3 linked regions of the Cricetulus griseus genome follow. The protein of the gene in region 3 purifies or fractionates together with the protein of the main gene of each other region. This does not show direct contact. Links are inferred from orthologs where the notes say so. Each region holds a gene or a part of one and is shown on either strand. Other genes may lie near its edges.

Region 1 (4,315 bases), on a different chromosome or scaffold from region 3:
CACTGCACCCATTTGGAGAGAATATTCTTTAATATCAACAATGACACTGTGTAACAGCACAGGGAGGAGGTAGTGGAGAGAGATGGTTGGGCTTTCTTTCCCTAACCAGCCTGGATCTCAACAGCAGAGCCCCAGCAGCTTAGCAGCCACTCAGTGAAAAGAAAGGGAGGGGCTGGAAACCAAGACTTCAAACTTAAATAGAGGATGGCAAACTGGGAGAGGCCTGGTAGTGAGAGGGGGTTGAGGGTTGGGGAGCCCTAGCGCAGGTCTTCGGCGGTGAACATGCCCTTGGCCCTGCGCAGGATGGAGTCCTTGGCCGCATCGTATGGATGCTCCTTGGATGGGATCTCCAGGACAGCCGGGATGGACCGCTGGTGGGCGTCAAGGGCATGCCGGACCATCTCTGCAATGTACTGGTTGATGAGAATGATGCCAATGTCATCCCTGTTCAGAAACTGCCTGTTGGGACAACAAAGGAGGAGAATGGCAGTGACTTGGGGGTACAAGGGTCTCTCTCAACTATAGAATATAGAGAGATGGATGAAGAGCTCAGAAACACACTGACTGGGGTGCATGTCAGTGTGTTCTACATGCTGCCTCTGGGTAGGAAAAGGGAGGAGAAGGAAATAGGTATGAGGCTCTTTGTATCTGCATAAGAAGATTCTAGAAACATAAGACTCTTACTATTGATGAAGGTAGAGAAGGGAGAAATTTTAAAATATAGAGTTGAGGGGACCCCGAAGGCCTCAAGGTCTGTGCTGATGAGGCCAGGACAACATTTGCCAGAAGTCAAAGAAAAGATGGAAAGAGGAAACTCAGCAATGACGGAATCACAATTTCCAGACAGAAACTGTCATTATGGCCTTGTCATGTGATCACCCCCCACACACAGACAAGCACATTCAGCCATCTGCTCATTAAAAATAATTTACTGAAAAACCAAAAAAACCCCAAAAAACAGAGAGAGAGAGAGAGAGAGAGAGAGAGAGAGAGAGAGAGAGAGAAAGAAAAGAAAGCAAGCCAGGCAGTAGAGGTACTCCTTTAATCCTAGCACCTCGGAGGCAGAGGCAGAGGCAGGCAGATCACTGAGTTTGAAGCCATCGTGGTCTACAGATTGAGTTCCAGGATAGGCCAAGGCTGCACAAACCCTGTCTCGAAAAAGAAAACAATAATAATTTACTGGGCACCTACTTTGTGTCAAGCATGGAATAGATCTGACTTGATCATTTTAGGATCCCTTCTTGCTGGAAACATGGAAACTTCTTAGAAGTAAAATCTGTCCTCCGGTGACAACGGAGGTCACTTTATCATGCTGCTTAGAGATCAGCTGATCAGTCTCTCCCAGGTCGGAGCCTGCCACAGCCCAGGCAGTGGGAACTAGCCTCAGCCAGCATGCCTTGACTGGGCAGTTTAGGGAAAACAGGTGAGGGCAGTTTATTCCTGAGACTTGGCACAGTAGCCTTGGAAAAGGAGTGAAGGCATAGGGTGTTGGCTCCCTCGATTCTAATCAACAGGGCACTTCCTGGCTTGGAAGACCTGCACCCACTATTTGAAACTATGATCTTTGACCTAGGGCACAAAGTGATGGCCTGAAGTGCAGGTCTTTGTGGAAGGCCATACTTTCCACGTGTTCTGCCCAAGGTGCTCAAGACAAATGGAAACTCCAAGGCAGACTGAAGGGCAGCTACAGAAACAAGAGTAGGCACCAGCATAAGAAAGCGTAAGACGGCTCAGTGGGTAAATGTGCCTGTTGGCTAGTTGAGTTTTTCTATCCTTGAAGCCCATGGAAAGAGAAATCTGATTCCACAAGGTTGTTTTCTGACCTCCATATGTACACAGTGACAAGCACTTACCCACAGTCACACATCACACAAACAGACTCGGTAATTAAAACATAAAAACAGACTAGTGGTGTGCTCGCCTTTAATCCCAGCACTCAGGAGGCAGAGGCAGGCGGATCTCTGCGTTCAGGGCCAGCCTGGTCTACAGAGAGAGTTCCAGGACTACACAGAGAAACTGTCTTAAACAAATAGAAGGGTCTGCTTCTTACAGCTGGTGTGTCTTTGGGCCTGTGCCTTAACCTATCGGCCCTTTATTTTTCTCACCAGTAATTGGGGATAAACACTACTTTACAGGACAGTTGTGAGCATCTAAGAAAAATGAAGCTGTGTGTACACCACACACACACACACACACACACACACACACAGCCCACTGTCCAGACCCACACTGGGTGTGGTTTGTTTAGGATATGACTCAAAACTAAGGTCCAGCGAATGCATTACAGGTGAGCGTCGGGGACCCCGGAAGAAACGCTGAGCCTGCTTCAGCCACCGACTGAAGCTCCTCCAGGAGGCCGGCAGAGGCAGAGGCGGATCACAGGCCCGGCTCTCCTCCTAACCTGACACACAATCATGTGACGGACCCGGAGCTCGTGGACCTGCCTTACGTGGGGCCCCTCTGAGCCCCAAAGGGGAACTTAGGCGGCGGAGGCCTCTGCTCCGGACGGGCTGACAGCTTCCAGTGCCATCCCGATCCCCATCGCCGCCTGACACCCGGTAAACAGGCCCTAATTCTCCCCGCGCTTGTAACAAGCAGAAGGACCCATTTAGGCCTCACCGGCTACCGTACCTGAAAGTGTCTTCGATCTCATTGACGGTGGTATCCTTCTCTACTACCAGGAAATTAGGGTGGCGGTTCTTGTTAAGCTCCCCTATGCCGCCCAGGAGGAAACCCGTCACCGTGTCCTCGTCTCCAATCACCGCGATCAGTTTACCCCGGCCCGCCATTCTGTCGGCAGAACGGAGCGCTCCCCCAGCACCTGAGATGTCCCGCCCCCGCGGCGGCCACGCCCTCAGTCATGCGCGGGGTCCCCGCCTCCTGGACATGCGCATTAGCAGGATCACGCCTCTGTCCGGCTGCGCCATAGAGGCCGGAACCATGGAACTACATCTCCCAGAAGGCTGAGCGGCACAAGCCTAACCCCCCCTCCGTGTCTCTCTCTCTCCTCTCTCTCCTCTCCCTCCCCTCCCTTCCTCCCTTCCTCCCTCCTCTCCCTCCCTTCCCTCCCTCCCTCCCTCCTCTCTCTCCTCTCCCTCCCTCCCTCTGTCTCTCTCTCTCTCTCCTCTCTCTCTCTCTGTCCTTTAGTCCTTCCTTCTTCTGGAAGCAACATTTTTTTTGAACCTAGAGTTATTGAAGACCGAGACCCCAGGGGGCATACTCTTTTTTGGGGGGTGGGGGTTGGGGGGTATGATGTTTTGTTTTTGGCTTTTTGAACAGACCAGTCTTAAATTTGCAGTGTAGGGAGAGGATGGCCTTGAATTCCTGATCCCGCAGCTACTTTCCACACAAAACAGAGTATGTGTATGGTTTGTTTGCTTAAAAACTTTTTTTCTGTTGTTACATTTGTTCTTTTGGAGGCTCGCAAGAGGGGCACGGAGGTGGGGGCATGTGTGTGAGGTCATAGTACACCCTGTGAGCATCTCTTCCACTAGGTGGGCCTTAGGGTCATCTAGTCAATTCGGTGTGTGGTTTGTTTTTGTTTTTTTTTTGTTTTTTCCTTCCTTCCTTCCTTCCTTCCTTCCTTCCTCTTATCTTTCCCTTCCTCCTTCCTTCCTTTTTCTCTTTCTCTTTCTTCCTTCTTTCCTTTCTTCCTCCCTCCTCCCTCCCTCTCTTTGTTTTCTTTTTCTTGATAGGGTTTCACTATTTTACCCTAACCTGGCCTCAAACCTTTGGTGATCCTACTGTCTCAGCCTCGAAAGTACTAGAATTTAAGGCTTGGCCACCATGCCACACCCCCTACCCTTTGTTTTGGTTTTATCAGGTAGTTTATCTTTTGTAACCTTTGCTGCCTGGACCTCAGAATCCAGGCTGGCCTTGAACTTGCAGTGAGTTATCCTATTGCCTCTCATCCTCCTGAATGCTGGGATTACAGGGATTCATTATTTCCTCCTGCCTGCTTCATTTGTTTGTTTTGCCCAGACAGTCCTCAAACTCTCCAACTCTTGCCTCAGTCTGGGATTACAGTACTGGGATTATAGACATGTGCTACTACAATTGTCGAAGAAAAGTTATTTCCTAGCTAGAAAGTCAAGGTCTATAGCAGTATCATGTATACATGCATGTTAACTACGACAATATATATATGTATATTATATATATATATATAATATATATAATAAAGAAATGGGCAAATTGTTGACACTGAGTAGTGCTGCAGAGCACCAAGGCCTTATGTTAGCTGCTAAATTTAGAGAACTATATAGAAGTAACCCTAGTATTTAGGAGCTAGAAGCAGGATTGCCACAGGCTCAAG
Region 2 (3,623 bases), on a different chromosome or scaffold from region 3:
ACACTCACAATGTAAAAAGGAACACATAGGATACACATCATGAAAAACTTTTCTCTATCAAAGAGACTTCCATTCATTCATGTTTCCATTCTTCTGAACATGAACACATATCACATTTACCTATAAAGTATGCCTTTGATTTTATCACCAATTCCAACAATCATCACTTCTTTCCCCGCTGCTGTAAGGTTTGCCACCTCATTCTTCATCTGCTTAGCCACTGATGAATGAATAGCACCACACAGTCCTCGATCTGAGGACACACCAATAAGAAGGTGTTTCTTCTTGTCCTCGGGTCCCTTAATTTCAGCCTTCTCATATAGAGCTGAAAAAAAAAAAAAAATAGAGTACAGAAATAAAATTTACAGTAAATGTAGTGGCAATCTCTAATTTCAAGTTGTTGAAGTTTTTCCACTATGCACTTTTTTTAGGTGGCACCTATGAGTATAATCAAGGGTTTTTGTGTGCTTATTCCATTTACAACTAGGAAGGACATCACAAAGGTTCCTAAGGATCAAATAGTGGCCAGTTTAAAAAAAAAAAAAAAATTGACCAAAATGCCTAGATACAACCAAAAGGGAAGATAGAACACAAAAATAATTGCTTAATTGGATACCAGACTTATACAATGTAAATTCCCAGCATACAGCTAAAAAAAAAGTAGCAAGTAAGCATTTACTTAACCTCTCATGTAATCTGTACATCAAGCTCTTATTTTATAGTAACTATTGATATTGAAGTTATGGGTGTGAATTTATATGTAGCATTACTTTACCAACTTTTCTGGTCTGTTTTTCCAAGAAGCAGTGGCAAAGAAGACATTAAGTGGGATTAAAGATACCTAGATCCCCAGGTGGTGTTGTTGCAAACCTTTATTCCTGGCAGAGGCAGGTGGCTCGCTTGTGAGTTCAAGACCAGCCTGGTCTACAAAAGCTAGTTCCAACTCAGGCTCCAAAGCTATACAGAGAAACCCTGTCTTGGAAGAGAGAGAGAGAGAGAGAGAGAGAGAGAGAGAGAGAGAGAGAGAGAGAGAGAGAGAGAGAAGGTATACACCCCTGTCTTCTATATACACACAGAACATATACATAAAACAGACCTGAATGGTAGAGTGGGGAGAAGAAAGTCCTAGAAGACAGCATAAACCTTGTTTGTACTAAAATCTTGGTCCAAAATTTGTAAGAATGCCTCAATTATTCAATCAATAGGCAGTCATAAGAGTCAACATGGATCCTGAGCAATCTCAAAGGAGTTAGATACAAAGTCATCAAGCAAACTGTAACTGGATCTTGTTGGGTCTGTCTCCTGACTGTCAAAATGTTCCTTTATGCGTAAATGTCCCTGAGACTGGAGAAAGACTGCTCTTGCCACATCAACAACTGAGGCACAGACTAGAGAAATGACTCAATGGTAAAGAGCACCCGCTGATCTTGCAGAAGCCCTGCGTTGGGTTCCCAGACCCCAATGCATTACAGTTACTTTTAACTCCAGTTTCAAGGAATTTGACACCCTCTTCTGGCCTCTATGGGCACTTTTACACAGACACATAATTAAAAATCTTAAAAGCAGAGCATTCTCCACACACATGCATTAATTAAAAACAGGTCTGCATCTTCAAGAGACCTTGGCTATATGTCAGTATCCTTTATAATATGGTTTTGATATCTTCATGGTGAACTTTCTACTTTGGCTCTTACCTTTGGAATATGCCACCCACCTCAAAAATATTTCTTTAAAATCTACAATGGGGGAATTCATTGTTCTCCTGCCCTTATGGGCAGCCCACTCCAGTCTCTGGAGAGTGTGCTTTGCTAAATAAACTGCTGTCTACATTTTCTGTGTCTCTTTATTGAAAGAGACATCACTGAGAATAAGATGGCTTGAGGAGGCCTACAGAACAGGTAGTCAGTGGAAACCCACATAAAGCCACTAAGGAATGTGCAATATTCCTTTACACTGTGTGAATATATGTGCCTGTGATTTGTTTAATAAAGAAGCTGACTGGCCAATAGCTGGACAGGATAAGGTTAGGGGGAAGGCCAAATAGAGAATGCTGGGAAGAAAGGCGGAGTCAGAGGAGTAGTAAGCTGACCCAGAGAGAAGCAAGATGGACATGCTGTACTGAGAAAAGGTACCAAGCCACATGGCAAAGCGTAGATAAAAATATGGGTTCGTTGAAAATGTAAGAGTTAGCTAATAACAAACCTGAGCTATTGGGCAGCATTTATGATTAGCATTAAGTCTCTGGTTACTTGGGAGCAGCTTGCAGGGCAGAAACTTCCACTTACAAAGGAAAGCAGCAACAGTGTGGGCAGAGGAGGTGAAGCAGGATTAGAACTGCATAAGGACTTGAGGGTCATTAACAACTGCATTCTAATTGTAAAGAAACTTGCAGGAGGGACAGAATGAAGCTATTCACAGGTAATTACTGCAGCTTAGGGTGAGAAAAACTAGAAAAGAAGCAAGGGCATCAGCTAGAAGGCTGTAAAAGACTGAGCAACAGGAACAAATCTTAACCTACTATATAATCTCCATCACTTTCAAACTTCTCATAGTAAGTTAAGAATTCTGCCAGGTGACAGTGATACACGCCTTTAATCCCAGCACTCAGAGACAGAGATAGGCAGATATCTGAGTGTGAGGCCAGCCTAACCTATAGAGTGAGTTCCAGGATAGCTAGGGATACACAAAGAACCCTGTCTTGAAAAACCAAGAAAAAAAAAAAGAAAAAAGGAAAAAAGAAAATTCTTTGAAATGGATTTCTTCAATCAAACATAGCACAGCATTGAAAGAATTTGGATTATCTAATTACAGTTAGGATGGGAAATTTCCTACCTCTTTTGCTTATCTCTAAGACAAATTAATAATCAAATCAGCATAAAATCATCTAAACACAAAATTTAAGTTGTAAAAATACCATGCCACTTTTCCCTGTAGGAAAAGAATTCAAGAAGAGATCATATAGTTACAACCAAGTTGCCCTGTCTGTTTTCCCTGTCCTAAAACTGCACACAAGGTTATTAGCAAGATGACACCATTTCCTAGCCCTTCAGATGGTAATGCAATAACCCAAGTGCATACATGAAAACGTGAATAAATGCTGAGTGTTCAGGACAGGCTTGGTTTCTGTTGATAAAACAGGGATTCAAACCAACTTGGAAAGGACAGGTATTATTTTATTTTACATTCCAGGTTAACAGTTTATCACCTCAGGGAGCCAAGAATTGAAACAGAAGCCTTGGAGGACTGTTGCTTGCTGGCTTTCTTTACTTATTTTATATACGGCTCAGGTCTTCCTGCTTCGGGATGGTATACACAGTGGGCTGGGTCTCTCTGCATCAATTAGCCATCAAGAAAACATGACCACAGGCCATTTTCATAGGGGCAATTCTTCAGTTGAGACTCCCTCTTCCCAGGTACATCTAGGCTTTTGAAAGTGGACCAAACCACCCAGCACTAGATTCACTATGAGCACACCATCTCTCGTGGCACACTCTTCCTAACTCACCCAAGGAGCCTGTTCCATACACACGAGCTGGCTTCAGCTCCCGCTCAGCCCGGGCATACTTCGCAGCTGCCACCATCTTCATAGACTTGGTAATTTTCTGGATGTTTTTGATAGACTT
Region 3 (4,175 bases):
TTCTGTTTATTTGGTGGAATGTCACATGGGCAGGAAACCAAAACCATTTTTTCCCTCTCCTCAAGAGATCAGGGAAGCTCACTCTTGAGAAAAACAACGGCTAATACTGTATTTCAGGAGATGGCTCAGTCATTAAAGTGCTTGCTTTGCAAGCATGAAAATCCAGGTTTGGCTCCCCAGCATGCATTCAAAAGTCAAGTATGTTGGTGCTCCTTTATCCTCATTGCTCAGGGGCAAATGGAGACAGAAGGATGCCTGGGGCTTGCTGAATCAGTGAGCTAACCTACCTTTAAAAAAAAGGAGTGGGGGAGAATGGAGGAAGACACTTCTGGGAGGCACACACATGCAAATAAAAATGACAACAAGTGAATGGCTGAGCCAACTGTGGTGTTATCCATACCACAGAATAATGATTAGCAATGAAAAGGAACAAACTATTTAAGAACCTATATTTATGCTTGTTATATAAACCTATCAATAGCTATTGTGGATCACAAAATGGTAAAATTGTAAATATGAATACAAAAACCAGTATGATTTTTCTGGGCAGTGCAAGATATTTTTTGTAAGAAGTTATCAAATAGGCCAACCTTTCTATTTTGTTAAATTGCTATCATTACTTTAGCTTGCAGCTCTCATTAACAAATAAGATCATGTAATTTCAGAAAACGTGGGAGGGGAAAAATTCAGTCTGACAAATCACTAGAAGATAATCATTCCATCTTTTTCCTTTTAACTTTCAAGTTCAGAAGACTAGATCTAAAGCCTCAAGCATTCATGGAGGTAAGAACCATATTCCCAGTCCTCAGCAGATTTTAAAAAGTAAATTCTTCAATTACATTGCTTAGAACTAAGATTTAACTAAAAACATGAAACCATATAAGAAAATGTATAAAAGTCAAATGTGTAATTTAAAACAAGGAACTTTCTAAGTTTGCAGAATAAATAAATGAGTTTAGCCACAAACTGAAAAACATTCCTTTCCTAAAGCTCATTGTTTGATATCAAAACAGTGGCTACTACAGTGCATATAAAATGGGAGTACAAAGGGTTGGGCAACTCTACGGCAAAAGAATTCCTGTATTTTCACAATATATTATACACCCAAATCAGAAGAGGTCACTTCATTTTTTTTTTTTTGCAAATGCAAAAGCTAATTAAAAACACACTCCACAAATTTAAACTGGCCAAGGAATTGACTGGGAGGGACAATTATGTAGGATTTAAAGAAAAAAAAAATGCCCAAAAGGGGAAGGATGCCACAGACATCACAGAAAATACCAAGTCAGTAATATCTAGGCTTAACCTTCCTGCTTTTAAATTATAGCCAAATGAATTTGGATTAATTATATTTTCAGCTTGATCAATTTCGGAAGAATTACTTCCCTTTCGGGAAAACCTCGTCACTTTCCCATAAGCTAGCCTAGGTCTCCAGCCCAACCAGGCAACACCATCTTTCATTGCCTTCTCATTCAACTGTCGCATTACCAAACACCCTGTTCTGAAGACAGTACCACGGCCTTCTCTCCGAAAAGAAAAGGCTGTAAGCCCTGCTCTTGCCCTTCCAGTCTCATCCGGAGCAAGTGAACACTCATTGAACCTCTCTGCAGGGATGTCCGATAAGACCCTTAGAATCACCGAGAATGCACATTCGTAGGGCAGTTCTTCAGTGACTCTGCAGTGAGGGCCGTATCAGTGACATTCCCTCCCAAGCCCGTCTCACCGGAGACGCCTCTGCCTCCAGGGGGTTCTCCTATCTTCCTGCTCATCCGGACGAAGGCCTTTGCCAGGGGAAGGAGCTCTGGGGAATGGGACCTGGAGGTGGTTGCAAACCCGGAGTAATGGCTAAAGCAATCCTACCACCTGAAGCCCCAACGACTCCAAATAGGGAACCGTAATGGCCGCACTCGCTCTCAACCCAGGCAAAGGTGGGCATCTTAATCCCTCGCCAGTGGACTTCGGGGACGAGCCAGGGGTCCAGAATGTAGATCTGGAGAAAAGAGCTACCAACCAGCCAGTGCAGGATGACAACGGGGAAGGAGCCCCAGCACCGCAGGCCGCCGCTCGCACTCCCCAGTCCCCATCTCCTCTCTCCCCGTCAATCGTCCCCACCAGTCGCCGGTTACCTGTCGCACCTGACCCGCCGGGGCGCGAAGAGCAGAATCAGTACCTACACGGGACCCAGAGGCTCTGTCACTGAGGGAGGGGAAGACTTCAGCTGCAAGGGGCGGGTCGTCCTGGTCATGTGACCTCAAGCTCCACCCTGCTTCTCCTCCCCAGCCACGCCGCCTCTCGCCAGTCTTGAATCCTAGCAGGTCGCTTGGATGTGAATGGTTGCGTGGCTAATGAACGAGTTAGGTCCTTTTTTCGCTATGACTGGGTTATAAACTGCAGCACAGAAAACGAGGACGGCAAGGGTTAAAGTGCATTGCTAAGGAAGTGACGTTAAGTCACGCTCTAGGGGCCGGAAGTGGCGATGGAGTCCCGCCTCTCTCAGTCCCGAGTTAAAATCCTGGCTGGAAAGCTTCAGCCTATCACGTGATTAAAAAAAAAAAACAAAACCGTGGTTTGCCTGCTGGAAGATAGCCAAGTTATCCGGGCCCCTCGTTACCTTTTGGTTTTTAAAACACATTTACTGCAGGTCTCCACAGGCTTCTCCTACATCGAGAAGAACCCGTTTTATAAAAGCCTATCGGGCGACAAGAGCGTTTGAAGGTCACTGGAGAGGGGCGCGGGAAAGACCGATCTTGCAGATCTGAGAGCAGTGAGGGAAGGGCGGAAGGATCCGGATTTTACCGCCGGAGCCTACCGGGCAAGCTCGGCGGGAGTGTCGCAAAGGGTGGGCGGAGCTAGCCCCCCGGAGGCCCAGCCCAGGGCAAAGGGGGGGAAGTCCTGGGGGGGAGGGGCGCGCGGCACGGAGCACTGCGGCTGCGCGCGACGCGGCGGCCGCGCCGGCGCGCTGAGGGGGCGGGGTGAAAGGTCACAGCGCGGCGGCGGGTCTGGCTGGCGGCAGCTGCGGGCGGGAGCGGAGTGTCCCGTGTGCACGTGTGGAGGAGCGGCGGCGGCGGCGGCAGCAGCGCGGCGGCGACAGATCTTCCCGCGTCTCCCCGGAGCTTCGGGGCCCGGCTCGGCTTTCGTGGCCTCCTTGGCCCCTCGGCGCCCTTCCCTCAGCCAAGAGGCCGGCGTGTGGGGTTGAGTGGCCTGAGCTCAGGGCGCGGAGAGCTCCCGGCGGCGAGGACGACGGCGTTGGTCGCGGCTGTAACGACGGCCTCAGCAGGCGGGGAAGATGAAAGGGTGAGGAAGGAAGGAAGGGAGGGAGGGAGGGAGGGCAGCCGGCGGGGGCCCGGCGGGCAGGGGAGAGGGGCGTGGGCCGGTGGACCCGGAGAGCGCCGCGAGGAGAGACTCGCGCCAAGACCGGGCCTCCGGAGGGACCTTGCCAGGCTCCTCGGTCACCCCACTCCGGGAGGGGGGCGGAGGCTAGGCCGGCTGTTGGCGGGCTGAAGGGCCTGCGGAGGCAGGGGCGCGAGTCCACGAATCCAGCCCAGAGAACGAGTGTGCACCGAGTGGGACAGCCGGGAGGAGGTATGGTAGGCGCCCGGGGCCTTTTCCCGGGAGCGCACGGCCGAGCCGCCTCAGGTGCTCATCGGTCTCCAGGATCCACGCTGTGGCTGCGAGCTTTGACACGTTTCTGGTTTCTTCCTACTTGTGGACTGTGCAGAACCTTCTGGAGGGAAAAGGAATTGGAATAAAGAGCATGGGGATGAGTGTTAGGAGCTAGTGACTCAACGAGATTTGGGTTGGGTCAGAGCGAGTGGAGGAGGGAGGGGGAACGAACTCAAGCCGCGTAGACTTTGGGGTGCCAAAATGTTTAAGGAAGTATCCGGGATCAGTAGGTGGAGCTATTGCTTCAAGAGAGTTTTGCCCCCTGAGTGCAAAGAGGAGTGTTTTGGCTGCTCGTTCGAAAAGTTGAGGTTTGGTCTTTGAAATCTTGGGTAGCATTAGACGTTATTTTTGTTTAACTGTTCCCGTTTGGGAAAAAGTATTTCCCTTCCATGGATTTATAAACTGTTACAGTATTAACACCGCGCTAACACATTGCTTAGGCAAGCTGTTTTTGAGGTTGCCTTTACAGTCCTTTAGAAAAAGAAATGGAAGCTTAAGCTTGCAAAACTTTT

The links.
Region 1: the proteins of Atp6v1a (region 3) and Atp6v1f fractionate together in Homo sapiens (co-fractionation; 3 studies listed by BioGRID and IntAct, with this or other methods). This does not show direct contact. The link is inferred for Cricetulus griseus from reciprocal best matches to the Homo sapiens genes ATP6V1A and ATP6V1F.
Region 2: the proteins of Atp6v1a (region 3) and ATP synthase subunit gamma, mitochondrial fractionate together in Homo sapiens (co-fractionation; 3 studies listed by BioGRID). This does not show direct contact. The link is inferred for Cricetulus griseus from reciprocal best matches to the Homo sapiens genes ATP6V1A and ATP5F1C.

What each region holds. Positions count from the first base shown.
Region 1 is NW_023276806.1:198,350,309-198,354,623, forward strand, and holds Atp6v1f (V-type proton ATPase subunit F), read right to left. Parts: upstream 2,863-4,315; 5' UTR 2,790-2,862; coding exon 2,632-2,789; intron 460-2,631; coding exon 258-459; 3' UTR 12-257; downstream 1-11. UniProt on the Homo sapiens protein: Subunit of the V1 complex of vacuolar(H+)-ATPase (V-ATPase), a multisubunit enzyme composed of a peripheral complex (V1) that hydrolyzes ATP and a membrane integral complex (V0) that translocates protons.
Region 2 is NC_048596.1:226,990,629-226,994,251, forward strand, and holds part of ATP synthase subunit gamma, mitochondrial, read right to left. Parts: coding exon 3,506-3,623; intron 326-3,505; coding exon 121-325; intron 1-120.
Region 3 is NC_048597.1:46,270,594-46,274,768, reverse strand, and holds the start of Atp6v1a (V-type proton ATPase catalytic subunit A), read right to left. Parts: upstream 2,817-4,175; 5' UTR 2,136-2,816; exon of another isoform or gene 2,127-2,135; intron 1-2,126. Other genes in the region: Naa50 (N-alpha-acetyltransferase 50), read left to right, coding at 3,287-3,294. UniProt on the Homo sapiens protein: Catalytic subunit of the V1 complex of vacuolar(H+)-ATPase (V-ATPase), a multisubunit enzyme composed of a peripheral complex (V1) that hydrolyzes ATP and a membrane integral complex (V0) that translocates protons.